Linked DNA regions of Nothobranchius furzeri. The protein of the gene in region 1 purifies or fractionates together with the protein of each later gene. This does not show direct contact. Links are inferred from orthologs where the notes say so. Each region holds a gene or a part of one and is shown in the gene's direction. Other genes may lie near its edges. The genes, in order: dap3, hnrnpub and ybx1.

Region 1 (10,497 bases):
TAACAATAGATTCACTAGGATAAATACAATAAAGTTAACTCTCGCCAAATAGAATATTTACTAAGAAATCACAATGTAACCATAGACACATTGCTTGGTGTGTGTGTGCGTGCGTGCGTGCGTGCGTGCGTGCGTGCGTGCGTGTGTGTGTGTGTGTGTGTGTGTGTGTGTGTGTGTGGCTGCTTATACTGAGCCAGGATTCTCTGGAGGTTTCTTCCTGTTGAAAGGGAGTTTTCCTCTCCACAGTCGCTACATGCTTGCTTAGTATGAGGATTGCTGTAGTCACTGACACTAGTCAGTGACTCGATGCAGTTTGCTGGGTTCCTTATATAGGAAACATTATTTCTGATTGGCTTAATGAACTGACCTGAATTGGAATGTTTATTATGTGAAGTGCCTTGAGACGACTCTTGTCGTGATTTGGCGCTTTATAAATAAACTTGAATTGAATTGAATCTGCTGCTGTGGCCCCCAGACTCTGGAGCTCTCTCCCCCTGAGCCCAACAGTACATCGCTGCAGACCCGGAGAACGCAGATTCAGGCCGACTGCTGATTCAAGCTTCTACTGTTTAATAGTTACAAATAAAATGTGTAACTGTGGGGGAAGCTTATTAAAAATAGTTTAGTCGTTGTTAAAGCTTCAGTGATGTAGCTCTCAAAATACAAATGTGAAAACTCCTGAGTCACTTTTAATAAGAAAAGCTTTTATCATATTTATTTAACTGACGTTGCTTGTAGAAACAAAACAAAAATAAAAAAAAACCCTTTTTCCTATTTTCCTGGTTCTTGACATCCTTAGATCAACCACCTCGTAACACCTTGATGGACCAAAACACACATGGCTCATTAATTTAATGCAGAACGCTGTGGGACTTTGCAGTGATGAACTGAATACATTTTATTCAAGTAAAACTTTATTTAAAATCCAGCTGCATTATTATTGGTCCTTTTGACGGTCCATTATGTTTTTGGTTTTCTTCCTTCTTACGGATTAAACAAATACTGTTCTCCACGTTCTGCCGACTCTGATCACACTCCATCTTGGAGTGCTAGCAAACAGTGGGCGGCGCTGTCTCATAAACAGTACAAGCCTGAATCTGCAGGTCTGCAGCGATACCCTCCTCCCTGAGCCTGAGATCAGTGGACTCAGTGGTCTCCTTTAAAAAGCAGCTGAAGACTCACCTGTTCAGGCTTTTGAGTGACCTTCATCACCACCCTCTCCTTATTCTGCTCTTTCTACTTATTCCGCCTTTCCCTGCGATCCACTGATTTCCCTCTTTCCCATTCCTTTTCTCTCTCCCTTTCCTTACATTATTTTTTTATCACAATTTAATATTGTTCTCATTTTAAACATATAATATGTTCATTTTTATTCATCTTTTTTACACTTTAATTGTTTTTTTGTGAAGCGCCTCATGATTTGTATCTTGAGAGGCGCTAAATAAAAGATTATTTCTTTCTTTCTTTCTTTCTTTCTTTCTTTCTTTCTTTCTTTCTTTCTTTCTTTCTTTCTTTCTTTCTTTCTTTCTTTCTTTCTTTCTTTCTTTCTTTCTTTCTTTCTTTCTTTCTTTCTTTCTTTCTTTCTTTCTTTCTTTCTTTCTTTCTTTCTTTCTTTCTTTCTTTCTTTCTTTCTTTTGTGATCTAACTAGTGATAAACAATCCTACACTTTAGGGTCACTGCCTTTTTAACAGGATTTGTACGTTCCTCTAGCCTAGCAAGCCGTAGTCTGGCCACCACCCAACGCAGTCATTGGGCGAACTCCATGGCTGCCTTTCAAACTGTCTCCACATGCAATTGGACAATTCTAGAACCAATCAGAGCAAAGCACAACTTCATTATCATTGAGCTGGGCAGTTTGTCAATAATGTAGCAGATGTCATGTTTCATGTCTCAAAAAAAAAGCTCAAGTCTAAAAAGTCCAAAGCTGATGCCAAAAACATTTGAAATGAATGCAGTTTCTGATCCAACGCCATCTTTGGACAGAGATGGACTTGCTGAGGCTACAGTGGAGTGTGGCTAGACTGACCCGCCGAGCTAAATCTTTTGCTATGGTGGAGAACCTCATTACTGCAGGTGGTGAGTTCTAACTTTATAATAATTTATCAATAAATTATAACAGCAAATAATACAATTGTGTGGTTAATATTAGCCTACAAATATTTTTTGAATCTGGGTTTTCAGTTTATTCGTTCATGCATTGATTCTTCTTCCGGCCCTTGGAGAGTACAGATGCTTTTTTCTCCTCTCCCTCTCTCCTTATCCCAAGGCTCTTTGTCCTGTCGGTGCACGGCGCTTTCTGCATTTTTCTGGAAACTGGAACTTATTAAAAATGGACCTGGTCAGTTGGTCTCTCAACGCGATTGACAACATTTTTCAACGATGAGAACGGGAGAAGGGGCTCCCGGATGCCCCTCTGGGACAGAGCCAGCTGGGCATATCATGGACTCCTGGAAACAGTGGAACCTGATCTTTCTCTCTCAACTGTCTGTAGAGGATTCTGAAGATGTTTGGATATTCGTTGTTTTGGTGTCGGGATTCCTGCTGTTTGGCCTGAGCGGTTACCCGGCTTACCGGAAAATTTACGAGCTTTTGAGGAATATTGGCTCAATCCCGGAGCTCAGGGATGGAATGCATCGCGCTGTGAACACACAAACTCATATAATTGTTGAGATGAGTTGTAAGCTTGGAACTTTGGCTGAGATTCAGGCTCTGACCCAGAAGGTGGATTCCATCAAGGAGCGAGTGGATGGATCAGCAGGGATTGGGATAGATTGATTAAGCCATTATTGGATCTAGAGGGGTTGATGACCAACAGAACACTATGGCAGAGAGGAAATTATCTGTCTGTCCCCAAAACAATTATTATCTGAATCTGGTGCCCTGGAGCGAAGAAATGTGGAATGTTGTCGTAGCTATGGAAACTCTTTCTCCCTATCCCAGCCTGGGCGCGACTGTGACCGGTGAAGGCCGTGGAACCGTGCTCTCTAACCCATTATCTCTCTCCCCTGTCCAAACGGAGGTGATGAGCGCTGCCCCATGCGGCTGCACGCACTGAAGTGAGGAGAGACCCAACCCTACCTCCCCACCTAGTGGACACTTATGTTGTGTAACGCCTGAAGTCTGTGTGCATATCTGTCTGAGGTGTTCTTTTGCAGAGCAAAGCTGCCCTCTCTGTGGAGGGTAACTCTGAAGTGCCTTTTTCCCTCCCCCTGACTCTATCCTCATATAAACCCTCTTGATCTATTACGGTAGCGCGACTCGTGTTGCGAATGACCACAGTCACCAGTTCTTGTCATGTGTCTATGTATGTATGTCTGATCTCAGAATTGTGAGCACTGAAACTCTAATTTCCCTCTGGGATTAATAAAGTATCTTTGAATTTAATATGAATTTAATTAAGCATTGAGCCAGAAAGAAACATAGCAGAGATTGAAATTTGTTCCACTAATTAGGGAACAGCTCCAAAAACCCTTTCCACTCCTGGTTCTGAGTCATCGTGAGTGTGAGAGTGTGCACTCTCCTTTTTTTCTTTCCTGTCTAAAGGCAAGCTGCTGTCTTTTGAATGACTTGGCTTGTCTTTTGAGGGCTGATGTTGATTTTCAGATGTACAGCTCGGCCAGTAAATGCTGATTTTGGTATGAAAAACTCCATTTGGTGGGTCTGTTAGTGCTTAATGGCGATGCTTTCAAGGATCCCCCCAAACAACAAATAATGAGTAAAAATACAATTTTGACTTCCTGATTGGCCAATCACAGCTTCACACTAGAACTCCCAGAAAACCGACAATTTGACGGCTGTCATTTTGCCCATTAAATGCAGGCTGACAATGACTTTGTGAAGCAAAATGGTTCAAGTGCGTTATTGAGACACTCACCTAAAGGATTATTAGGAACACCACACTAATACGGTGTTCTGCCTTTGTAACTGCCTTAATTCTATGCGGCATTGATCCAACAAGGTGCTGAAAGCGTTCTTTAGAAATGTTAGGCCAGTCTGAGTATTTCACAATCTGCTCAGTTACTGGGATTTTCACCCACAACCATTTCTAGGGTTTACAAAGAATGGTGTGAAAAGGGAAAAACATCCAGTCCTGTGGGAGAAAATGTCTTGTTGATGCTAGAGGTCAGAGGAGAATGGGCCGACTGAATCAAGCTGATAGAAGAGCAGCTTTGACTGAAATAACCACTCGTTACAACCGAGGAAAGCAGCAAAGCATTTGTGAAGCCACAACACGCACAACCTTGAGGTGGATGGGCTACAGCAGCAGAAGACCCCACCGGGTACCACTCGTCTCCACTACAAACAGGAAAAAGAGGCTACAGTTTGCACCAGCTCACCAAAACTGGACGGTTGAAGACTGGAAAAATGTTGCCTGGTCTGATGAGTCTCCATTTCTGTTGAGACATTCAGATGGTCGAGTCAGAATTTGGCGTAAACAGAATGAGAACATGGATCCATCATGCCTCGTTACCACTGTGCAGGCTGGTGGTGGTGGTGTCATGGTGTGGGGGATGCTTTCTTGGCACACTTTAGGCCCCTTAGTGCCAACTGGGCATGGTTTAAATGGCACGGGCTACCTGAGCATTGTTTCTGACCATGTCCATCCCTTCATGACCACCATGTACCCATCCTCTGATGGCTACTTCCAGCAGGATAATGCACCAGGTCATAAAGCTCCACTCATTTCTAACTGGTTTCTTGAACATGACGATGAGTTCACCGTACTACAACGACCCCCACAGTCACCAGATCTCAACCCGGTAGAGCATCTATGGGATGTGGTGGAACGGGAGCTTCGTGCCCTGGATGTGCATCCCACACATCTCCATCAACTCCAAGATGCTATCCTCTCAATGTGGACCAACATTTCTAAAGAATGCTTTCAGCAGCGTGTTGAATCAACGCCACGTAGAATTAATACAGTTCTGAAGGAGAAAGGGGGTCAAACACCGCATTAGTGTGGTGTTCCTGAAAATCCTTTATAGTGTTTTGATTATATGCTGCAACGGCTTTCCAAACAACACAATTCTCTCATGGGCTGTCATTGCGCTTGTGTGAGCCAATTGGCTAGTTTAGACGACGCGTCACTTCCGGTAAAGAATAATGGCGATGTCCATGAGCGTTCTGGCACATTGACCACCAACAGAAATCAGAGGTTAGTTTTTATCCACATTCAGCGTGGAGCCGGTTTTATGTGTTTGAATGAAAACAACCACCACCGCTTCCTGCTGATTTCCGAGGAGCTTTCAGAGACGTCAGCGGTCGGGTTAGCTTGTGTGGCTACAGCTAGCCGTTAGCTACGTGTTTACGCAAGGTGATGTGACACTGCTGTGGAGACAAACGAGACTTTTTACATCTGCCTTCGACTTTACACCCTTTTAAATGTAACCGTTGTGTTTCAGATCATGGCCCTCCACAGACTGACTTTCAGGCTAAGGCCAAAGGTCAGGTCTCTTTACACCAGCGGATGTTGGCAGCTGGAGGCTGCTGCTCCGCAGTCCGAACCTGAACCCCTCTCGGTCTGCAGAACACAGGAGACAGACCCGGTGAGCCACGACACAGATGTTTTAGTAGAAACACAGACAACAGATGTGTTTAGACGGGTCAAAGGCAGAAGTCCTGCTAAACACGTTCACCTGACCGCAGGGGCGCAGATAGGATTTTCAAACTGGGGGGGACAAAGTTCCAATGTACCCTCCTTCAAACACACACACACACACACAGCTCAGTCAGTTTGTGGAATTTCATCCAACGGTTTACGTAAAAACTAACTTATATATACGTGTTTGAAGCCGTTATGCAGTGGAACGCTGGCAGCAAAGCTCTGCCTGATCAACACTATAAATGATAAATGATCCGCACTTGTATAGCACCTCTCAGAGTAAGGACTCCAAAGTAGGGCTGTCGCGGTTGAGGAATCCCCCCTACGGTGATTCAGGGTGGCTTAATATTGCGGTGTGCGATATTATTGCAGCCCTTTTTTTATTGCAGTACTATCTAAACATAATGTTTACACATTTAAAAAAGGTTAAAAATTGCCGTTCCTTCTTTAATAACACTTTACTGAATGCAGATCAAAGGGCAGTAACAACACAGATCGCAGTAACGTTTGTTTCTCCGACAGTCGGAGTCCGACTGAACTTGAAAACAACAAAATTCAGGAGGTTAAACTTTTAAATGCTAATTTGGCTGCAGCATCTAACAAATAAGAAGCAAGTGCCCATTTTGTTTAGTTGTTTAAAATCAAGCATAAAAAATTACATGTACAGGGCGCGGGGCACTGTCATTTTACTTTCACACACACGAATGACGGTGATTTATAGCTCGGGCACGTCCTTGTTACCCACAAGGAAAACCAGCATGTTAACCATATACGGTTTGAGAGAGGATCTGAGAGGGGGGGCAACATTTCCAGCAACACTGAAAACCCTCTCGGATGGTGCGCTCGTTGCACTAACGCACACGTACTTGCGTGCGACTCTGGCGAGCAAAGGGAATCTCTCCCGGTTGTTACTCCACCATGTCAGGGGGGTTCTTTAGGGTGGATGCATTCCTCCTGCAGGTAGCGAGTGAGCTCCAGCTCGGCTCAAACTCTTCGGGACGGCTGCAGAAGCAGTGCTTGTCTCGGACTTCAGCAGGTCTCCGAGCGTGTATTTATTTATTTATTTATTTTTGCCGCTGGTGGCAGCTCTGTCTCGGCCAAGGACTCTGGCTGCGCAGCAGCTGACGTACTGAAAACCAAAGTGCTCCCAAAGGAGCGAAGTAACGTTTTGTTTTGATACCAGTGCAGCCATCCTTCTCAACATGCATCATTGAGTTGAATCAAGTTCAGTGATCGCGGTGGCCCATGATGCAGCGCGGTGGGCTTCTTCATATTGCGATATTTCATTTTTGCGGTTACCGTGACAGCCCTACTCCAAAGTGCTTTACACTACAGTGTATCATTCATCCATTCACACACATTCACACACTGATAGTGATGATCTACGATGTAGCCACAGCTGCCCTGGGGCACACTGACAGAGGCGCTCCACTATTTAATTCAGTCATTTGTCTCGTCTCGTCTCGTCTTCCTCCGCTTATCCGGGTCCGGGTCGCGGGGGCAGCATCCCAACTAGGGAGCTCCAGGCCGTCCTCTCCCCGGCCACCTCCACCAGCTCCTCTGGCAGGACCCCAAGGCGTTCCCGGACCAGATTGGAGATGTAACCTCTCCAACGTGTCCTGGGTCGACCCGGGGGCCTTCTGCCGGCAGGACATGCCCGAAACACCTCCCCGGGGAGGCGTCCAGGAGGCATCCTGACCAGATGCCCAAACCACCTCAACTGACTCCTTTCGATCCGGAGGAGCAGCGGTTCTACTCCGAGTCCCTCCCGAATGTCCGAGCTCCTCACCCTATCTCTAAGGCTGAGCCCGGCCACCCTACGGAGGAAACTCATTTCGGCCGCTTGTATCCGCGATCTCGTTCTTTCGGTCATTACCCAAAGCTCATGACCATAGGTGAGGATTGGGACGTAGATCGACCGGTAAATCGAGAGCCTGGCTTTCTGGCTCAGCTCCCTCTTCCCCACGACAGATCGGCTCAGCGTCCGCATCACTGCAGACGCCGAACCAATCCGCCTGTCGATCTCCCGATCCCTCCTACCCTCACTCGTGAACAAGACCCCGAGATACTTAAACTCCTCCACTTGAGGTAGGACCTCTCCCCCGACCCGGAGGTGGCAAGCCACCCTTTTCCGGTCAGTCATTTGTTATTCTCCCAATCAATTAGTAACCAAAACCTCGTGCTGTATGCAAAACATTAAATGATTTTCAGCATACCGATCTTTACAGAAAACATAAAAACCCTAAAACACTGCACATAAAATATGTTTACAAAACGATATTCACTTATCACTTAGAGCAGTGGTTCCCAAACTTTTCAGCCTGACCAACAGATGTTCCTTCTTATTTTTACGTTATTTATACATTTTCATTATATTTGGAAAGTTTTAATTTATATATAAATGTATAAATCTCTTTTTAAATTTTATATTTGACTTTTTTTATGATTATGTGGCACACTTGACTTCCATAAAGAACGCATCGGCATCTGCCTCTTTTTTACGGCTTTTTTTTTTTTTTTTTTACATTGTCGCTACGTCTGTCATGTTAGCGGTGTTTTACCATCATTTCTACATCCACCACGTCCCAGAGAAGGTTAAACCAACATCAAACCCAACGTTTGGAGCTTGTAAACTCCACACACCTCTCGTGCAGCACCAGCTGTCTGATGCTGCAGCAGCTCAATCTTCCCGGCTGGATGAGTGAATTTCTTCATCAGAGTCAATATTCTGCTTCATAATCAGAGTCAGTCATGACCAGACAAAGTGATCAGTCAACAAAGACCAGACCTGCCGGCAATTATACGTTTTATCTGGTTAGGGTTAGGATGGATCGGGGTCGATCTGAATCTGGGGGGGACAGATCCCCCCCATCCCCCACCCTATCTAGGTGCCTGCCTGACCGTTGTGATACGCTTATGTGTTCAGTGGCGGATTTAGCTATTTGGGGGCCCAAGGCGAACACAGTCATGGGGCCCCTTACACTAAAATTTCGACAATCTCATCTTTAACTGGATTTGCGAAACTCTCTCCTCTTCTGCCACGAGTTATTTTCACGTTTTATTAGTCCTCCTCATTTTTCCTGTCTTTCTCTCCCTTTGAGCGCTTTCAATATTTGCTCTGCTTTCGTCTTCCTGTCAGTGCTCCTGTGCTTTTTACCTTTATTTTTTCTTCTTCTATTTTCCATTTTGGTCTGTGTTTTCTTCCCTTTAAACATTTTCCATCGTCTTTCCTTTTCTGCTTCCTTTTGATGTTTACATAGAAAAACGACGTCACTTTTGGGAGTGAAGCCAAAAGCTTTTTTAAAGCGAGCTGCTTCTTTCTCTTATTGGAGCCACTAGGATAACTCCATTTCATGCTTCATGTTTTGACTATCGCTTTGAGTTTGTTACGAACGCTCCCGCCTCTCTTCTTCTTCTTATTTGTGGTCTTATGGCACTTGGCAAACAACAATTTGGTGCATTACTGCCACCAACTGGATTGGAGTGGAATGACTACCAATCACTTCCTGTTTGTGCATCGAGTTTTAAAGGAATGGTCCACTGTGGCATTAACAGAGGGGTGCTGGCCTGGCGGTCAGAGCTAGGGGACCCCCTCAACATAAGGGGGCCCCAGGCGGCCGCCGACCTATGCCTAATGGTAAAACCGCCACTGTGTGTGCTTTTGATGATCATCACTGGAACCGCACCATGCTATGGAGGATAAAGGCGTGAACATGTTGAATTATTTGGAGTACGCTTTGTTTGCATTTAGCTAAACAAACTATGTACAGGGTGATTTAATTATTTTCTGCATTTGTAGTTAGTTTCACTTTAATGCTTTAATCTGGCTTTTATTATACAGTATTAGAATCACATGAACTTTGTTTTGAAGGATGCCAGTTAAACATGATTTTTTATTACTTTTGCTCTTGTTTGTGTGTCTTCTTAGGCCGGTCACACAGAGAAACACATCGGACAGTTCTACACGCTGCCGCCCTCTCACGTCCGCCCTCTGTTCCCTCATGGCCTCCCCTACCGCTTTCAGCAACAGGCATGTGAAAGCGCAGAACGATGACACTCACGTGTGCATTTTAGTATTTGCTGCATCAAATGTAAACATTCCTGATTTGGTTTAGGCAAAAACGTTCAACGAAGCCTGCGTCATGGTAAGGCAGCCGGCCCTGGAGGTCATCTCGTACTTGAAAAGCACGGACTTCAGCAAACCTGCTCAGAGATATTTATTCTGTATCCTTTAAAACACACACACACTGGGGTTTTCTCTTTGCTCTGAATGAGTCAGTTTGTGTCCTGATGGAGTTGGTCAGACGGGTTAAAGGGTAGCGGCAAAACCATGTCCCTCTGTCACACCGTCCACTTCTGCTACACACAGGGATGGCTGGTGCTGCACGTTCCCGATGGTGAGACACGAACACAAATGTAGCACAGAGAGCTGAAAGCCGGGGCCGGGACTGACCCTTGTGCCTCTGCCTCACGCAGCGCATCTGTGGGTGAAGAACTGTAAGGAGCTGCTGCCGTCGTCTTATAAAGACACTCGCTTTGATCAGCCGCTACAGGCGGTGACGTGGCTACGCAACTTCAAAATTACCAACGAGCCCTTTCTTTCCAAGGTAACTCTTCTTATGTTGCTTTAACCTGATGAATCCTAGTGGAAATGAAAGTAATGGATAGCATCACGAACAGCCTCAGTTTGGAGAAACTGATTAATTGTGACAAGATTGACAAGCTAACAGCAAGGCTAAGGCTGTGGATTAGTGCCAGCATGAAACAGAAATAATCTGCTGTTTACAGCAGGTAATAATCCATGTTATCACCATCTTTCCACAGAAACCAGCTTTAAATTAATTAGCCATATTTGTGCTAGCATACCGTGTCCTCGTTAAAACACGCAGTGTGA
Region 2 (8,824 bases), on another chromosome or scaffold:
GAGATCAGCAAGGCACCAGAGTCTGTCACCTTGCTTCATATGACTGGTTCTGATGTGGTCCCGTTATCAATAACACTTTAGTCTTACTGAATGATTAACGGTTTCACAAACTCCATTTGGTAGCACTTTTAGCTTTTAGCAAGGTTCACATCCCAGCTCCAGCCTTTCTGCATGGAGTTAGCTTGTTCTCCGCGTGCATGTGTGGGTTTCCATGGTTTCCTTCCGCAGGTCAGTGCATGTCAGCTTCAAACTGTTAGTCCAGATGTCTGCGTGTTTTTGGGCTGGACCACTTTGAGTTGCCCATAAGAACTAAATTGTCCCAGTCTTGGACTGTATGTGATTGATTAAATTATTAAAGATTCTATCTAGTGTAGACGAGTGAAGTCCAGAATCGTGTTTAGCCGGATCAAAAGCCAACACTAGCATCAGGTCTGGTTATGAGGTGCAGATGTTTGAAGGAAGAGCCTCAGCAGGCTGATGTAAAAGACCTGAAGCTGTATTTGGGTGTTAGTTTGGGTTATGAGCTTGGGAACCTCTGAACTTGCTAACCCAGCGCTTTGCAGAAGAACGGAGTGGCCTACAACTTTCCTGATACGTCCATCGTGTGTTTTCGATTTGAAATACAAGCGTGATATTAAAGGGTATACATACATTTTTATTTACATATCATCCTTTTCTTTAGCGGGGGGTGTCATTGGGCTTTAGGTAGGTTTCCCTGCATGGTTAACTCCCCCTGATGCAGTAGACCCTCATCTAGGACTAGAGGACTTGTATCTGAAGGGTTCTTACCCTTTCACGACCCCTTTTCCAGCCCCATCAAGCTCTGCTGCTGCTGTTCATTTGGGCCAGTTCATGCTGTAATTACTACCTGGTCTTACCAGTTGTTACAAGTCATGTAATATGATTGTACTGTTTTAAATGTAACTATGAGGTGTTTCCTCTTGGTAATCATGCTAGACGCAATGTAAATAATGAACGGGCTTCGTGGGCCAGAACCCCACTGCCAGTCCGACCTCTCTCTCTCTCAAAAAGGAGCACCTCATTCTATATCTTTGTTCTATTTTCAAAGGAGATGCGGACAAAGACACGAATGCTGATCAGAAGAATAAGAAGGGTGTTAAGAGACGCCGGGAGGAACATGGAAGGGGCTACTTTGAATTTATTGAAGAGAACAAATACAGCTGGTAAGGATGGGACAGAGCCGAGGTGGCCTTCAGCATCCCTGAAGCGCCATCCAAGCTTTGTTGAACTGTATTGGCTTTAAGTGCCAATGCACATAACTAGCAAGAGGTAAAGCCTCGTTTGAAGTATTCTATCATATATTTATGATATAACCTTTCACACATGTGTTTGAGGGTCATCCCTGAATAGCTAAAGCCTTACCATTTACCTTTTTACACTCACATTGTGTCTTTAACGACTGCATTCTGTAGCAGAAGTGCATCTATCAATCTCATATCTGTTCCTCATGCCACCTATTGTTCTGGAAAGCCCGTTGTATCCTCAAGGAGACTCCAGGCTGCTTTAGGAGAACCCAGCGACATTAGTAGAAGGGGGAGGGGTCGATGTGGGGGAGTATCCCAGAGGCGTGGGTTTGCGGGGACCACCGCTGAGCTAGCAGTGGAGGCGCTCACCGATCGCCCGTTGTTTCCGCCTCGCAGGTCTATCGATGTTTGTCATTTGTTGTGCATTTATCTCACTGGATGACTGATGTCCAGATGCTGTTTCTGTATCGTGTGTGTGTGTGTGTGCGTGCACTTTTGCAGGACTGTTTCTACCCCTGCATAGGTGACATCATGCATGGCCTGTGTGAGTGTGTGTGTGTACATGAAACTATTACCGGTCAGTGTTTTGTTTTCATTGCGCTGCTGGCACACCGAGGATGAACGGGCAGAAGCTGAACGTAGATCTGGAGGTTTTATTTGAACAAGGATTAAATCACCTCTACGGTGCCGAGAGTCTTCGTTCACCTGGTATGAACGGGATCCAGACTCGGCTGCTACACAGCGTGAGGACACCAGGGAAGGTTTCAGACACAGACTGGTGTTTCATAGATTCATGATGTCCAGTTTTAATTCTTAGTCTTGATTTAAAACACAACATGATCCAGCGGTCCCACACATCACATAGCAGCCCTGAGCTCACACTCACCTGGACGATATTCACATCTGATCAACATCACGGGGCGATGGCGACGGTCTGTATCTTTCCCGTTTTAGATTTCTGCGGATGCTGTTGGGTAAGTCGGTTCCTGCCAGGGTTTGTGAGGCTCAGTCATGTTCTGTTTCCCTTTCTTAAAGCCCGTCCACTTCTCTCCTGTGATGTTTTTCAGCAAATGGTCCCAAAGAACATCAATGTGCTCCACTGTCACCCCCGCGTGAATCCTCTAATTTACTCGCTGCCGTCTTCTTTCAGTGCTTCGTTTAAGTCTCCGGTACCGCCCTTGGAGGAAGAGGACGAGGAGCTTGATGAGACCAAAGTCTGCCTGGACAGCTGTAAGAGTTGATGTTGGTGACCTGCAGGGACACGTTGATGCCGGTGTTGTTTACGGGAAGTTTGTGTTCTGCAGACAACTGCGACCTGCACTTCAAGGTGTCGCGGGACCGTTACAGCGCTTCGTCCCTCACGATGGAGAGCTTCGCGTACCTCTGGTCTGGAGGCAAGGCCACTCACGGTGTAAACCAAGGCAAGGCTTGCTTTGAGATGAAGGTAAGTCCTCTGCTGCTGCTTCCTGCAGCGCTGGTGTTTTAAACCCCGACTGGTGGTGTTGCTAGAGTCGTGTGTGGTGTGATTGCAGGTTACAGAGAAGATTCCAGTGAAGCACATATCCAGCAAGAACCTGGAGATTCACGATGTCCAGGTCGGATGGTCTCTGGCTACCGGCTCGCTGCTCCTAGGTCGGTGAAGCAGCTTGTGAAGCTACACGAGGGTTTAGCTTCTCACACCTGGCACCACATCTTCCATAAGCAGCAGCAGAACCTGTTTAAGCCGGTTTAACGACCAGCGGCGATAGGCCGAGCTGTCTTTATGCCTGTCCAGTCCGTATGTTAAACCCACTGTAGGGTTTCATTATGGCGCTGTGTGTGACATTCATCAGGGTCAAAGGTCACATTTTTACCAAACACACAGCTGCTGAACTGGATTTCGTGTCTTTTATTGTTGTTTTATCTTGTTTTTCTCTTAAATATAAATAACATCAGATTTAGCCTGGGAAGTCTCTACCCCATGTGTTTATTTAGTCATGACGTCAGGCAGCTGCGGTCATGCGTGACCGACTCAACAGCTCCCTCTAGTGGGCTGTAAGCAACATAGCATGTTGGTGTGAATGCCAGCGGAGGTGAGTTGTGGCTGCTGATGGTAATCTGTTGGTGTTCAGGTGAGGAGGAGTTTTCCTTCGGCTACTCCTGGAAAGGCAAGAAGACGACCAACTGTGTGACCGAGGACTTCGGAGAGCCGTACGAGGAGAACGACGTCATCTGCTGCCTCATCGTAAGTCCAGATTCCTTTTTTAAAACTTCCAGACACACATTAGACCCGTACCATGGTGTACGGTAGGAAAGGGCGTGACCCCTCCTGTGATTGGCTGGACGAGCCAGTGCAGGCACAGAGATAGGTGAGTAGGCTGAGCTAGACTAGAAAAAAGTGGACGTAGTGCAAAAGAAGAGCAGCAGTGTCCTGGCATGGAACCAGCAACCTCCCAGAGGCCTGGTCCAGAGCTGCAGGAGTGGGTGCTTTACCTCTGAGCCCCTGTAGGGGGCGTAGGAAGATTGTTCTAGGGTTAGAACATTCACCACATCTTTCTAAACCAAAATGTCGCCTTTCCTCCTCGATTCAGGACTTTGAGGGTGAGGAGGTGGTGCTGTCCTTCTCCAAGAATGGTGGAGAGCCAGCTGTGGCCTTCCAGGTCCAGAAAGACTCTCTAAACGGCCAGGCCCTTTTTCCTCACGTCATCTGTCGCAACTGTGCTGTGGAGTTCAACTTTGGCCAGATGGAGACCCCGTACTTCCCTCAGCCTGAGGGCTACACCTTCATGCAGCAGATCCCCGTCGATGAGCGTGTGAGGGGTGTGAAGGGGCCTCAGACCAAGGCCGACTGCGAGGTGTGTGTGACGGACCTCTGCGGTGTGTGAATAACGGTGCGACTGACTAGAACCTGAGCAAACTGCCTGCTTTTGCAGATCATCGTGATGGTTGGTCTGCCAGGCTCAGGCAAGACCACATGGGTGAAGAACCAGGTCCAACAGAACCCTGGGAAGTACTACATCCTGGGAAGTGACACGATTGTGGACAAAATGATGGTATGTGTGTGTGTGTGTGTGTGTGTGTGTGTGTGTGTGTGTGTGTGTGTGTGTGTGTGTGTGTGTGTGTGTGTGTGTGGCAGCTAGCTGGTTGGGTAGAAGTGGCTCTGTCCTTCCACTCATCTGTGTGTGTGTGTGTGTGTGTGTGTGTGTGTGTGTGTGTGTGTGTGTGTGTGTGTGGTTTAAACCAGATCAACAGCCTGAAGCGCCAGTCCAAGGACATCACCAAGCTCAGCACCATTTCCCAGAGAGCGCCTCTCTTCCTGGGGAAGTTCATCGAGATCGCCGCCCGCAAGAAGAGGAACTACATACTAGACCATGTAAGTGGGCGGTCGTGACGACGCTGTTTTCAGGGTTGGCGCGTGTGTGTAACTCCTGACTGCTTCCTTCCAGACCAACCTGTCTGCACCCGGCCAGAAGAGGAAGATGTGTCTGTTTGCCGGCTTCAAGCGTAAAGCTGTGGTGGTCTGTCCGTCTGACGAGGAGTACAAGCAGAGAGTCCAGAAGAAGGTGGAGAGTGACGGCAAAGATGTGCCGGAGCACGCTTTGCTCAAGATGAAAGGTCCGCGTTATTTCACCCACAAGTCTTTTCTTTAGTCTGGTGTCTGACTCTGTCCTGGTTTCCTCCCTGCGCCCCTAACCCGCACCAGGCTTCTTCGCTCTGCCGGAGGAGGGCGACAGCTTCAGCGAGGTCGTCTACGCTGAGCTGCCCAAGGCGGACGCCGCCAAGCTGCTGGACCAGTACAAAGAGGAGAGCAAGTCGGCCCTGCCCGCCGAGAAGAAGCCCAACCAGGGGAGCACGGCGCCAAAAAGGGGCGGTGGCCCGCGTGGTGGCGGCCGGGGAGGCAAGAACCAGTTTGGCCGTGGTGGTGGACCTGGACAGAGGGGGGGGGGTCGTGGAGGCTTCCAGAACAGAGGCAACTTCAGAGGAGGTAGGTCTTCAGGGGAGTGGTGCATGCTGGGAGTTTAGTGGAACAGCTAACTGTATCGACGTGTCCACAGCTCCTGGCCCCCGTGGTGGCTTCAGCCGTCCTCCTCGTGGCTTCCTGCCTCCGCCGGCCTTTCGGGGGGGGTTCCCCAACCGCGGCAGCTTCAGCCGTGGCGGCGCCCCCATTCCCAGTCTGGGAGGCTCTCCAAGAGGCGGTCCAATGAGGGGTAACATGGGACACAGGGGCGGACCCATGAACCGTGGGGGTCAGATGAACCGTGGGGGTCAGATGAACAGAGGAGGCGGAGGCAACATGAGTCGGAATCCAAACCGGGGTCATCCCAGCCAGGTGGGCGTGGTTCTCCGGGTCTGCTGCGTGGCTGCAAGCGTAAATATCTCAAGTCATGTGTGGCTGTGTTCTCCACAGTTCCAGCCCAGAGGTGGTAACCGTGGCAACTTTGGCAACAAGAACAGCTTTGGGAACAGCAGGAACAGTGGGAACTTTGGCAACAGGAACGGCATGGACAAGGCCCAGGCCTTTAACCAGAGCTGGCAGCAAGGGGTCAGTGTCCTCCTGCACCTCATTAATGATTCATGAGCAGAAAGTAATCCGTCCTGTTTGTCTGTGATCTTTTCCAGTTCTGGAACCAGAAACGCTGGAGCCAGCAGTACCAGCCCGGGTACTACTGAGACTCGTTCTAAGGGACTGGTGGTCGACACTGAGAACCCACCGTAGCCACGGAAACCACCCCGCCCCACCCCCTTTAGTCTGTTTTCTTTAGAGTCCCCTTTTAACCTCCTGAAGCCCACGGAGACCGGAGCGAAGCGGAGCTCCATCCTTCCATCAGGGAGCAGCACGAGGGTCGGGTTCAGCGTCTTTATGGTTTTCTTTAGGTTTGCTCGTCCCTCCTCCACGTTTAACCCCCTGCTCTCAGAGAAAACCTCTACCCGCAGGAGCAGAAACCCTCCCCGTGGCGTGTTTTCGTTTTCAGGGTTGTGCATTTTATCTGTGTTGTGATTTTTGCTTTTTTATTATTACAAATTGTAAATATTGTTTTTTATTAGTTCTGTCGGACGTTTGAGACGTGTGTTCTGATCAAGACAAATGTGGGTTCCTTCGCAGAACCCAGGATAAATTATAGCTGTTAATCTGACGCGTTACAGGAAGCAGGTCATTTACAGTTGGTTGTTTTACTTCCTTCATTCAAATCTGTAATAAACGTCATAGACCTACAATAAACTCTCCTTTGCTTTTCTACTTTCTGACGTGTGAGTTGTAGTTTAGCTCTAAGGCTTGTGGACGGGCGCCTCGTTGGCGTGTTTCTGCTTATGAGAAGGTTTTCCTCCATCCTCCCCGTCACACTGGAGCTCTGGTTCTACACGCTTCAGGAGACGCAGGGTTTGGGTTTGCTGCTTCCTGTAGCGCTGTAGACTTCTGAGTGTGACCCGAGCTGACCCGACGACGCTTCAGCTCCGACACTTCCTCACCAGCGAACTGCACAGCGTCCCCACGGCTTTCCAGCAGCTTCTGGACCTTTCTAGCTGCGTTGTCTCGGTGACTGTGTGGCTTTGGGGCAACGGCCGCTCCCCATGGCAGCAGAAACATCCTGCTTTACCTCCTGCTGGGCTTTAGACGCCTGTAAATACCCCACTGGTTATTCATGCATGTGTTCTGTGACGTGAAGAGAAGCTGGAGTCCATGTCCGTCCGTTTCTCTGCCGTGTGTAAACCCTTAAGGCCGACAGCTGGTGGTGTATTTTTATGACGGTGTTACAGGTTTACAACAATCAGGTCTCAATAAATAACTCCAACATTTTAAGACCTTTTGAGATTTTTTACTCTTATTTTGGCGTGAACAGCATCACTGCCGCGGTGTCTCGGTTTACAGTAGATGTTTATTATAAAGGAAATGACATCACTATTGGTAAACCAATACAGAACAGCAGAGGCATTCACCCCCTTGCTAACAGAACATTAAACCCAACACATCAGAGCACTTCTGTGTTTGTAGTAAAATTCTGTATGAACCATGATTCCATAGATTTTAATTATGCTGCCAGTGGCCCAAGTAAATCTGTTGAATCCTCCAAGCCAACCAGTTGTAGATGTAGATCAATCTAATGAAAATGTTTGATCTTCATTCGATTTACTTCAAAAGGAAAGCAAAGTTCTCCTCTGGAGCTGGTCTGCTGGCTCTCCACCAGTGAACCTGGCTGGTTTATGCTTGACGCGTCCGCGCGACTCCGCGCGGAAAAGTTGCGTCATTTTAGCAACCACGCCCCTCCACCGCGTCTCCGCACGGCCCAGAATTTCCGCATCGCGCACCTCGGAAAATTTCTAACCACGCGGACGGACGGACGCGGAAAAACATGGCGGACCAGCAAGAACTAGTACGGCAGAGGTTGGTAAATACAGGCATTTGTATGATTCAGCTCTCAGAGATCACCGTGATCAACATGTTGTTAATAATTCTTGGAGAGAAATAGCTCGCACTGTCGGAAAAGACGAGGACGCTGTTAAAAATGCTGGAATGCCATGTTGTAAACAGTCATTTCTACTTCTACTATGGTGTAGTGTTGGATGCATGCTGTAGAGCTCCATGCTGCCCCCTACAGTTTGGGAGAAGATAAGATAAAACTATTAATCCCTCGGGTGAGTTCCTTCAGGAAATTCAGTTTCCAAAAAAAGCAGCGCAACACCGACAGAGGTTACAGAACGTCAGAAAATATTAAATAATAATAAAAATAGAAATAAATATAAAAATACAATTGAATCGCACCTTCCGGATATCAACGTCCTTAGCACCGTGGAGCATTAAACCAATTTAACTGTACTTGCATTGAGGTATTGCACAGTGAAGCGAAGAGTCACTACAGCTTCGGTGTCCCCCCCTCCTTTGTCCTCCTGTTTCTCCTCCCTCTCCCCTCCAGAGAGGAGTTATACAGTCTGATGGCGTGTGGGACGAAGGAGTTTTTAAGTCTGTTAGTTCTCATCTTGGGGAGAAGCAGCCTTTCACTGAACAGACTCTGCTGTTTGTTTGTGGCCGTGTGCAGAGGATGCCCAGCATTGTCCATGATGTCAAGCAGTTTTTTTAATGTCCTTTCCTCTGCCACTGACACCAACGTGTCCAGTTTCATGCCGGCCACAGAGCCTGCCTTCCTGATCAGCTTCTCCAGCCTAGATGTGTCCTTCTTCGCTGTGCCACTCCCCCAGCACACCACAGCAAAAAGAAGTACTCCGGCAACCACTGACTCGTAAAACATCCTCAGGAGCTTCCTGCAGATGTTAAAAGACCTCAGCCTCCTGAGGAAGTACAGTCGACCTTGGGCTTTCTTATACAGGTGGCCTGTGTTGCATGACCAGTCCAGTTTATTGTCCACCCACAGCCCAAGGTACTTGTACTTATTGACTACCTCCACCTCCTACCTCCAGAATATTGGCTCACCGCAGAGACGAGCCGCATGAACCATAAACACTGCAAGTTGTGAAGCGTGTTCCAGCCGCGAGCTGCATCACCACGCGGAAAGTGAATGCGTCAAGCATAAACCAATATGGTCAGCTCAGACTGGGAGACCATCTAAAGGCTCAGGAACCCTCTG
Region 3 (10,512 bases), on another chromosome or scaffold:
ACATTGTGAATGTGAATGTGTGTGTGCATAGGTGAATGACTGATTTGTGTTGTAAAGCGCCATGGGGGGTTCTAGGACTCCAGAAGACGTTATATCAAATACAAGCCATTTAGAAGAAGAAGAAAGGCTTCTTTATATAGAGCCTCTCAAGATAAAGATCACAGGGTGCTTCACAAGAACAAAAATGAAGAATAAAAATGATTAGTAAATTATTTAAAAAGATATAATTCATACAGAGGTGGGTGGATGTTACGTTTTAATGATCAACGATCAAATCAAAATTTTTCATTCAAAAAGGAAATAACAGGATATGCTTAGAATGAGCTGACTCTTACAAATTTGTTTTTGTAATTGATTTTTGTTGCAGGCAAATAGTGGACCAGGAACAAACGGCTGCCAGTTTTTTATCACCTGTACAAAATGTGATTGGTTGGATGGGAAACATGTTGTTTTTGGTAAATAAATCAACATTTGACATCTGGAGTTTTTGAAGCTCTATCGTAATTTTAGTCTGATAATAGATTTATTTTTTTTACTTTTTCAGGAAAAGTGGTTGATGGTCTGCTAATCATGAGGAAAATTGAGGTAAAAACTTAACTACTTTTTTTTATTTAAAAATTTTATCTAATATAATTAAGTATTATAATAAATAAAAGAACAGTCATTTAAAAAAAAGAATAGGATTATATGTTTTTTGGGGGGCGGGGAGTTGTCATATGTTGCACATTTTATTCAGTTGATTTATTTTAAGGTTATTTGTAATTTTTTTAAGTTTGTGCTCTTCTCTTGAAACAGAATGTACCTACAGGACCAAACAATAAGCCTAAACTCCCCATTGTCATTGCTCAGTGTGGAGAGATGTGATGCAGCTACCTACGTGTGTGACATCTGGATCTTCTAGCAACATCGGTTTATATTCCTTATACACACACACACCAGAATTATGGATAGCTCTACTGTTAATTCTCAAGATTACTTCTGATTTTTTGGTTCCTGCGCAATCACTTTTCTACTGTTAATGTTGGAATATGTTTAACATTTGTTTTTCAATAAATCCAGTTCAACCCAGTGCTCAAGTTGTCTCCCTGATTGTTTCTATTGATGCTATGCACAAAATATCAGTCAATTGTTGCACAATTTGATGTTTTTGTATTCTAAAAAGATTGTGCAACTCTTGATAAGTTCAGCCATGGAGAAAATCAGGCTTTGAATTCCAGTGCTGTTGAACTTACGGCTACCCCTGGAGCCAAGGCTCCAGCACCCGACCCCCTTCCCCTTGAACATCATTCTCCCGGCATAAAAGAATCCTTTGAAATGGAGACTTTTGTGAAGGCAGGAAGAGAGTAGTCCTTTTTTTAAGGGTCCTCTCTATGGTGAGGCATTCTGGGACTGTGTGTATGTGTGTGTGTGTGTGTGTGAGAGAGAGAGAGAGAGACTTTTTTTGACTTAAATTATTTATTTTTCTTTAGAAATCAACAATCAGCGTTAATGACTGAAACTTGTTTTCCACTGATAAAACCAGGAAACTCGATAAACCCAGTTTAGAAGTTGATCCTTAGGGAGCCCTGTCCATCCAGCAGACAGAGCACCAGCCCGATCCCCCACACCGCTCTAAACGAGTCCAGGTTCCCAGTTAGTTCATAAAAAGCGTGTTTGATCTTTAAGCGAGCTTCCACCAGGCCCTTCAGGCTCCGCTCAGCATAAGTCCAGCTCTGTCCCAGCATCTGGTTTTTCCTGGTTTTCCAGATGGCTAGTTTTGCACATGCAAATAAAAAGTTAATTTACAATATTGTCCGTTTTTTCTGACATTGTACTTGGGCCCGAAAACAAATAAGGGTAGGGTAAAAGCCTCCCCCAGTGCACTAACCCACCATTCTAAAACCCTGAACATCTCTGGTAACCTAGAACATGCTACCACTAGATGCTCTAGGGTTTCTGTTTGGTTACAAAAAGGACATCCCTCCCCGGTGCTTGGATCAAAGCGGGCCCTGTGTCTGTTCATAGCTAAAGCTCCATGTATGATCCTCCACTGGAGGTCTGCCATCCTTTTTACCACGGAGACTTATACAAACTCCTCCAGCTGCCCCCAGGGGCACGGTCTGCAGCAAACACCTGAGTCCACCTCGACTCCTAACAAAGAGCACCTATGGATAACCTTCACACAATTGTGATAGATCTGTTTCTTCCCACAAGACTGGAAGGAGCCCAACACTGGAGTGTTCGGGTTCAGCAGTGATCCACTCTCCTCCTGCCAACCCTCACCAGCTGCTTTAACCTCCAAAGATGGAAAAACGTACTCACTGTCATCATCCCATTGGTCAGATAGAGTACAAGTCTCAACAAAGACTGCAACACAGACAAGGACCTCCGTACCTCCTCCACCACTCTCTCCATCACTGGTGGACCTCACATCCACCCGCTCACCAAGGGTTCCAGCCGAGATGTTCAGTAAGTGACCAAACATTACAGTCCCAGCATCGGTGAACTTAACTTTCATTGCAGACAAAGTTAAAATGCCAGCTCGAGAGAAGAAGTCATTGTCAAACAAGGGTTCTTGTAGCAACCATGTCCCTGGTCCCATGTCAGACACTCGGGAAATTGTCAGCAGCTTAAATGTGTCCGCACTGACGAGTAGAACGGACTGATCCTCGTCAGATCCAACACCTTCCGATTCAACAGGAACAGGTGTTTGTTCAGCCCAAGCCCACCAACCTTCTACAGCAGGAGATGAGCCAGGGGGAGCCTGCAGAGTCTGTCAACATATAGAAGCTTCTGAGCCGTCTGTAACCTGAAGGCTGCAGTTCTAGACACCACTTCTAGACAAGTCCTTGTCCTCCCTCTGACACGGGTAGGCAAAGAGCCGAAGCTCTGATCCAGTGGTGACCGGACCAGAAGAATTTCACCAACAGCTTCTGAACACCTTCCAGCAGACCCGGTGGTGGAACCAGTACAATCAGTCTGTGCCACAGAAACGAGGCGACCAGGTTGTTTGCTATCAGAACCCTGCCCCTGTAGGACAGCTGGGGGAGAAGCCATTTCCATTTAGACAACCACACCTCCACCTTCTCCAGCACCTTCTCCCAGTTTTGTTTCTGAAATCTTTCACTACCCAAGTACAGGCCTAGTATTTTAATACCTCCCGCTCCCCACCTCAGCCTTTCTGGCAGAGGCGGGACATTACCAAGGTCCCACCCCCCCACTACACATGTCTCACTCTTGTCCCAGTTAACATTAGCCGAGGATGGATTCTCATGTAAAAGTAAACTAGATCTGAGTTCTTGTGCATCCTGCTGATCATGGATAAAAACATTCACATCATCTGCATAAGCAGACACAACTTAGGGAGGACTAGAGACAGGTAAAGGTAGGTGTAGACCTTTCAGCCTGTTCCTTAGCCGACACAGCAGTTGTTCATTAGCTAAAATATACAGTTGTCCTGAGATGAGACAACCCTGTCTTGATTCCTCTTAAAACTGGTATGGGTTGACTCAGGCCCTCCGCTACCTTCACCATACAGCTGACATTCCTATACAGCATCTTAATCCATTCCAGAAAGGACCCCCCAAAACCAAAGGCCCGTAGCCTCTCATTAAAAATAAATTGTCCATTAATTACTTTCCTGGTATTCAAAAGGACTGATCGTCTGGGATTAGACCTCCGATGAATCCCCAAAGTCTGTTTGATAAGAATTTAGAAAAAATCTTATTGTCTGAACATAACAAGGAAACTGGTCTCCAGTATTTTAGTTGGGTTAAGTCCCCTTTTTCGGCAGCAGGGACAGAACGCCCCACCTACACGATGCAGGAAGTGCTCCTGTCTGAAGTGAGTCTTTAAAAACATCCATCAGGTCCTGTCCCATACTGCTCCAGTAGAATTTGTAGAAGTCAGCAGGTAAGCCATCTATCCCCAGAGATTTTCCTGCAGCCATCTGGGAGACTGCCGTTGTAAGCTCCTCCATGGTTATGTCTGCATTTAAGATGTCTTGGTCTGCTGTGGTCAAGGAAGGGAGCCCCTGCAACAGCTCTCTGGCACAGTTCACATCACATGGCCTTAAATAGGCTGGTATAGAATTCTCCTGCATACTTCCTCATCTCCACTGGGTCTGTGGATAACTGTCCATCTGACAGACGAAGAGCAACCATTTGTTTTTTTCTGGTTTGAAAGTCTTTTCCAGGTTAAAAAAGAAGGATGTTGGAGCATCCATGTCCTGTAATGTGGTGAAACGAGCCCGGATCAAGGCCCCTTTGGCCCTCTCTTGCACGAAATGCCCAAGCTGTTTTTTTTTTTTACCAGAGACATAAAATCTGTCTAATCTAGCAGCACTAACTCCGAGAGAGAGAGAGAGAGAGAGAGAGAGAGAGAGAGAGAGAGAGAGAGAGAGAGAGAGAGAGAGAGAGAGAGAGAGAGAGAGAGAGAGAGAGAGAGAGAGAGAGAGAGAGAGAGAGAGAGAGAGAGAGAGAGAGAGAGAGAGAGAGAGAGAGAGAGAGAGAGAGATTAACCGCATGCGCTTCACACATTGGCCTGTGCTTGTAAAGGGTGCCAGTGGTGCATGAACATAATATGAGTGGATTCTGCAGTTACCTTTGTCTTTACCTGCTAATATTTATGGGGTGTTTATTTGTCTTTTCTTAGAATGTTCCCACGGTAAACATCACAATAGTAGTAATTATTTCAACTATCTAGAAACGACAAAATAAATTAAACATAAAGTTGTCACATTTGCAACATACCACATGTATGGTTCACAGTTTTGTATGACATAATTCAAAATGCATAATACTATCGGAAGTGTCACAAGCAGAATTCTCTCGCTTTTACGTCACTGGGGGCGTTGAGACTTCTGTACGTCTTTTTGACCAATAATTTCATCAAAGGCTTTGCTCAAAAAAGATTGACAGTCTCAATAGCCAATTGGAAGGAGATTTGTTCAATTCTACATATTTTAGCTAATCAGGAGACGAGATGGGCGGGTCTTCGCCTGGGAACATTCCCCTGCACTGTCTCTTGTTCTGCCCAGTTCGATCGGCAACGGGAGCGGAAAGAAGAAAGCTGAGAGCCCGAAGGCAGTAGCCCCCACCACCGCCGGCCCAGGTTACCATCTAGCACCGGGAAAAATATCAGAGAGCCGCCGCCGGCTGAAGCCATTACCAACGAGTAGTAACCATGAGCAGCGAGGCCGAGACGCAACAACCTCCACAGCCTGCTGCGGATGCGGAGAGCCCATCCAGCCCGGCACCCGCAGCTTCCGCGGGGGATAAGAAGGTCATCGGTAAGAATTCTTAGGCTAGCCGAGCCGGAGTTATCATTTATAATTTATACGCTCTTGGGTGTGGATGTAGCATTTGAATAAAAGCTGCCGTTCTTGCGTGAGAATTTCAGCCACGTCAAATTAATTTGCTCCAGTTGGTAAACGTTAGTGCCAGTTGACGGATAAATTCTTCACTCCTTTGGGCATTCTTATTATAATGGTCCAAAAAATTCAATCTAACGGTTTTTATTAGTCTAGTTTCTAAAAATTGAGTGGTTTATTCACAGATTAAATCGTGAATTCCATTCTGATTATCTCCATTGCTCATCGGCCTCCTCACGTCAAATATCCGTTTGAGAGTCGCGTGTATCCGGCCGGTCATCACATGGATGCTCGCTGTCACTTCCAACCGTTGCCAGAACCACGATGTTTTGACTAGGGTTTAATAACTGCATAACTGCATCTGGACCGCCAATAATTGCAGAACAATCCTACCAAATGCTCTATAACACCGGTTCATGTGAAATAACTACAGTGGCTACGAACGTTAGCTGCTTAACCATCTCTTTGTTCGCACGAAAGAGTCTTGATTCCATGTCAAGGCATTTTATCTAAAATATTCTCCTTTTCCAAAGCGTTCAGTCCCGATTTTTTTGGCCAAATTGTCAGAAGAAACGTTGTTGGCTAGCGACTCCAGCTACATCCGTCAATGGCGGTCTTATTTTGGTTGAATTTGCGTGCTGTCGGTGTGGCCTAAATACTTTACTATAGATCATCGGTTGCTAACCTAGCTACATTAGCCTAGCCAGCTAAGTGGCTATTTACATGGCTTTAGGGGAGGCCGTCCAAAATGTCCGCCGTGTGTTTTCCCGTTTTTTCCCGCTGCTTTGTAATTTGTTCGCTAAAAACTAATTCAAAACCGAAATCTTTATCATATATACCAATAAATACGGATTAATGTAGTTTAGTAATGCGCGTTTGTTTGTTTCTCTTTGCTGGCTCTACTCCAACCACATGGTACTAACCTTAGCCACACAGCCATGCTAATAGCCAGCAGAGCACAGCTCACAGCTCGTTAACGTATCCGGGTGCGACCCAACCACGTGTGAACCTTCAGGTTCTGCGTCCTAAAATGGAGCAGCAGGTCTGCAGTAACTAAACATGCGAGTGCAGAGACTGGTCGCTGTTTGCATCCTCATCTTTGTCATGCATTATGGGACATTTTGGATGCGTCATTTGGGACAGTTGTTGTATCGTTACTGGGATATTTTCTTACTGGTGGCTCATGTTAGGAGCAGCTGGCCCTGGGGTCTCCTAAGCATCAGTGTCTATAATAGGAGTGACAGTTGCGGGTTAAATATAACCTCTACGTTATGTGTGGCCATAGTTTTTAATGTTTTTATAGTTCTGATGTAGTTCGTTAAGTGTCCCATCATGATGGAAGCGTTTCAGTTTCACTTAAGCTATATGGATTTGTTCTAAATGCATGTCAGGCAGACGATGGTATTTAATAATCTTGTTCTGACTGTGATTGCAGCAACAAAAGTCTTGGGTACAGTCAAATGGTTCAACGTCAGGAATGGATATGGTTTCATCAATAGGTGAGTCACCTGTTGGTCCCTGTGTCAAAGTACATTTCTGGGTGTGGGTGAGAGTGAAGCATGCTAATCCTATTAAGTTATGCTTTGCGTACTTGGCTGACCATATTATTTTTCTGCTCATCTCCATCCTGTTGCAACCCACAGAACTTAATTAATCCCCACTGGCTTAGTTTTAAGTCTGTTTGCAGAGGCTCAGCAGAATGCAGCTAACTAAGATTCTGTTCTTTTGTCTAGGAACGATACAAAGGAAGATGTTTTTGTACACCAGGTCAGTTGTTGCTTTAGTTTTTATTCATTTATTGAAATTTGTGGTTAAGCAGACTTGACATTCAAACTATTTGTAATTTCAGACGGCCATAAAAAAGAACAACCCAAGGAAATATCTTCGCAGTGTTGGGGACGGAGAAACTGTGGAGTTTGATGTAGTTGAGGGAGAAAAAGTAAGTTTCTTTGATTTGTTTGTTTAAAGGACATTGTGTTCCATCATGATTAATTTACTTTGCCTTTTTTTCTTGTGCACAGGGAGCAGAGGCAGCAAATGTCACTGGCCCAGGAGGAGTTGCAGTCCAGGGGAGTAAGTACGCTGCTGACAGGAACCGTTACAGACGCTACCCACGAAGGAGGGGGCCTCCCCGTGGAGGAGACTATCCAGAGAACTACCAGAGCGACGAGGGAGAGCCTGGCAGTGGAGGACGTGACAAAGGCAGCAGAGAGGGTGGAGATAACATCCCTGATGGAGATTCGCAGCAACCACAGCGCAGACCAGCGTACCCTGGCAGACGGCGCTACCCACCATATTTTGTACGTAGTCGCTACGGCCGCAGGCCCCATACACCCAACGCACCACGCAGAGATGACTGAGGTACGCTGTCACAGGGCTAAAATCCTGAAACAGTCACCCAGTTGTCCCATTCCAAAATTAAAACCCTTTGTTGTAGACGAGCTACTCTCCTCTTCACAAACGTGGTTGTGATCAACTAATCTTGGTGTATCGGGGGTCTTGGAAGTGAGCCCCTCCTGTCAATGAAAAACAACAAAACTGTGAACAAAATCTTGAAAAAAAAAAAAAAAGAATTAAAACAAAAAACTTAGATGGTTTCAAGTTTCTAAAGTGGGTGTGTCACTAAAAAAAGCGTCCGTTATGGTTAAATGTTTGTTTTCAGGGAGGTGAGGTTGATGAGGGCCAAGGAGGTCCAGACCAGGGGAACAAACCGGCGAGGCAGAACTACTACAGAGGCTTCCGACCAAGGTTCACACCAAGGTTTGCATGTTGGCTTTATTGATGAAGGGTTGGCAAAAACTGGAGTAGTTGGTGAAGCTCTGGGTCCACTGGAGCTTCATTTTAAAAATTTGAAGTGATGACAAAACGTCACATTACAAACTTCTGTTGTTGCAGCCCAACCTCAAATTGCTGCTGTGCATTCATTTTATTTATATTTGCATGTCTTTGAAACTTCATCCAGCATCTGCAGTTAATGCAATCTTTACCCCGATTTTCTGAATCGTTCTCATGACGGTCTCTGTGCTCCAGGGGTCCACCCCGTCCCAGACCGGTGCGAGACGGCGAGGAGGACAAAGAAAATCAGGGCGGTGAAGGTGGTCAGAATCAACAGCCCCGCCAGAGGCGCTACCGCCGTAACTACAACTACCGCCGCAGACGCCAACAGACTGGTGGCAAACCAGGCCAGGAAAACAAGGAGGCCAAGACAGGAGGCGACCCACCTGCAGAGAAAACGTCCGCTCCCGAGGCCCAGCAGGGTGGGGCTGAGTAGTGAACCTGCCCACCGGCACCTACCATCTTTTACCATCGTCCGGGTGAGCAGAAGCTCATTAAGCATTTGATGTTCATGGTGCATGTCGACTAAATTATGTTTCTTTTCAACAGTTTTTCTTTTGTCAACAAGAAGAAACATCAAACAAGATCCGAGCAATAAAGATTTGACTTTTAAGATCGTCACAAGCTTGCACCACGCGTTTGACCAGATTACCACCGATTGCCTGCAGAATCTATGCAGACTTGTTTTTCTTTCCCATTATTTTTACTTGCAGCTACAAAACGTTTTGGGGAAACAACAAATGTTTTTCTAAATCTGTCCTAAGTTTTTACACCAAATGGTTTTTAAAGATGATTAAAAATGAAATTTGATATCTGGTCAGTTTGACATTTTTAAATAACTTTTTATGTATTCAGACATTTTAACAAAATGCAAGCTCAAATAAAACTCCAGAAACCAGAAAATGTGTCTGGTGGATTTTATTATTTATACAGGCACAATATAGGAGTAGTTTAATGAAGATGTTTGAACCATTAACTGTTTTATAAACTGACTACATCAAATTTTATGGCAACATTCAGCTAATAAACATCTTTCAGTCTAGTTATGGACGTCTGGGGTTCAGTGTAATTTATCTACAAGTCTGTCCAAGCAAAACCCTGACAGTTGATCAAACATTGGTTTCCTTGCGCAGGCGCTTCATACGTTGTACGTTATTCTCCATGGCGGTGGGGTCGGTGATCTCTGTGGCACAGTTAGCAGGAAACCAGCCTCTCTCACCATCCCGCATCCTCTCCCCGTAGCACCAATCTAAGGAGAGCAAACGGTTTAAAACACAGAAGCAGAAAAGAATCGGGACTAGTATGAGCTAGAAAGTCTCACCCTCCTCCTTTTGCAGAACTATGACGAGCTCAGCCTGCCGCAAACTCAGTTCATCTGGCTCTTTGGGGATGTAAGCTTTGGTGGCTTCATACTGTGGTGAACCTGAAACAGATTCCCATAATGCATTGCACTGGGGTTCACAAATCTAACTCAAATGATTTAAAATATTAAAAGAACGAAAGGAAATTCTGTGCAGCTTATCCTCACAGGGAAAAAGTCTCAACCATCATTACAGCAACTCACTGAAGTATGCAGACTTACCGTTTGTGCAGGTAAAACTGGTCTGCTTCCCTCTCAGTGCAATTATCCAGCGAGCTCGGTCCACCCTTGGCAAGAGAGAACAGTGAGCTATCATTCTGCCAGCAGAGGGAGCCAAACACTCAGAATCGTGGATTACAGGAAGGCTTTATGAGTCCAGCCTGCAGATACATGTTTACAAGGCGGTTCTTGTCCAGGTTAGAGGCAGTGTTATTAGTAGGAAACATTACATTTACTTTAGGAACATGGGAGTGCAGCAGTACCTGGAGTCAGCCACCAGAGAGGTTTGCTCTGACTTCCCCTCGCTGTTCTTACTCATCCTTAGTCTGAAGGAAAGCTGGTTGGAGTTGTATTTTGTAGGTGACACTCCTCGTACTTCTGCATCCTCCCCTAACTCCACCTCCACGTTCTCCAGAGTGGCGTAGTCCAGCACCACGAAGCTCTCCTCTCTGGATTTAAAAAAACATTACGTTCCATATGGGTAGCGTGTAGGAGTGACCGTGTTTAAAAAGCAGCATATTCCTCAGCTGTCTGCTTAAACCCTTATCGTATGCTTTCACCTGAAACCGGGTCACAGCTTTGACTTTGAACCCGGTGTTGTGGACAAACCCGTCCTCTGAGCGGACGTTGTTTGGCTTCTCCCTAACTCAAAACAGAAGTCGGTCGAGCTGACGAGCTGAATGCAAGATTGAAGAATCCCAAGTATGCATGCAACACATCCCATACCCTCTGCTCGTGTTCCTGTGAC

Evidence for each region.
Region 2: the proteins of dap3 (region 1) and hnrnpub purify together in Homo sapiens (affinity purification with mass spectrometry; 3 studies listed by BioGRID and IntAct, with this or other methods). This does not show direct contact. The link is inferred for Nothobranchius furzeri from reciprocal best matches to the Homo sapiens genes DAP3 and HNRNPU.
Region 3: the proteins of dap3 (region 1) and ybx1 purify together in Homo sapiens (co-immunoprecipitation; 3 studies listed by BioGRID and IntAct, with this or other methods). This does not show direct contact. The link is inferred for Nothobranchius furzeri from reciprocal best matches to the Homo sapiens genes DAP3 and YBX1.

What each region holds. Positions count from the first base shown.
Region 1 is NC_091745.1:77,850,942-77,861,438, reverse strand, and holds the start of dap3 (small ribosomal subunit protein mS29), read left to right. Parts: upstream 1-5,070; 5' UTR 5,071-5,156; exon of another isoform or gene 5,157-5,315; intron 5,316-5,403; 5' UTR 5,404-5,406; coding exon 5,407-5,547; intron 5,548-9,531; coding exon 9,532-9,633; intron 9,634-9,718; coding exon 9,719-9,827; intron 9,828-9,907; coding exon 9,908-10,000; intron 10,001-10,079; coding exon 10,080-10,210; intron 10,211-10,497. UniProt on the Homo sapiens protein: As a component of the mitochondrial small ribosomal subunit, it plays a role in the translation of mitochondrial mRNAs. Involved in mediating interferon-gamma-induced cell death. Displays GTPase activity in vitro.
Region 2 is NC_091742.1:29,991,393-30,000,216, reverse strand, and holds the end of hnrnpub (heterogeneous nuclear ribonucleoprotein Ub), read left to right. Parts: intron 1-1,069; coding exon 1,070-1,184; intron 1,185-2,415; coding exon 2,416-2,495; intron 2,496-2,569; coding exon 2,570-2,709; intron 2,710-2,797; coding exon 2,798-2,897; intron 2,898-3,376; coding exon 3,377-3,489; intron 3,490-3,835; coding exon 3,836-4,099; intron 4,100-4,177; coding exon 4,178-4,297; intron 4,298-4,488; coding exon 4,489-4,617; intron 4,618-4,690; coding exon 4,691-4,859; intron 4,860-4,947; coding exon 4,948-5,229; intron 5,230-5,299; coding exon 5,300-5,574; intron 5,575-5,652; coding exon 5,653-5,787; intron 5,788-5,864; coding exon 5,865-5,915; 3' UTR 5,916-6,145; downstream 6,146-8,824. UniProt on the Homo sapiens protein: DNA- and RNA-binding protein involved in several cellular processes such as nuclear chromatin organization, telomere-length regulation, transcription, mRNA alternative splicing and stability, Xist-mediated transcriptional silencing and mitotic cell progression.
Region 3 is NC_091755.1:32,512,892-32,523,403, reverse strand, and holds ybx1 (Y-box-binding protein 1), read left to right. Parts: upstream 1-4,986; 5' UTR 4,987-5,163; coding exon 5,164-5,269; intron 5,270-6,785; coding exon 6,786-6,849; intron 6,850-7,083; coding exon 7,084-7,117; intron 7,118-7,199; coding exon 7,200-7,289; intron 7,290-7,371; coding exon 7,372-7,650; intron 7,651-8,012; coding exon 8,013-8,110; exon of another isoform or gene 8,111-8,380; coding exon 8,381-8,621; 3' UTR 8,622-8,664; exon of another isoform or gene 8,665-8,734; 3' UTR 8,735-9,088; downstream 9,089-10,512. Other genes in the region: ppih (peptidyl-prolyl cis-trans isomerase H), read left to right, coding at 368-455, 545-585, 796-864; arhgef16 (rho guanine nucleotide exchange factor 16), read right to left, coding at 9,295-9,434, 9,507-9,608, 9,768-9,832, 10,028-10,213. UniProt on the Homo sapiens protein: DNA- and RNA-binding protein involved in various processes, such as translational repression, RNA stabilization, mRNA splicing, DNA repair and transcription regulation.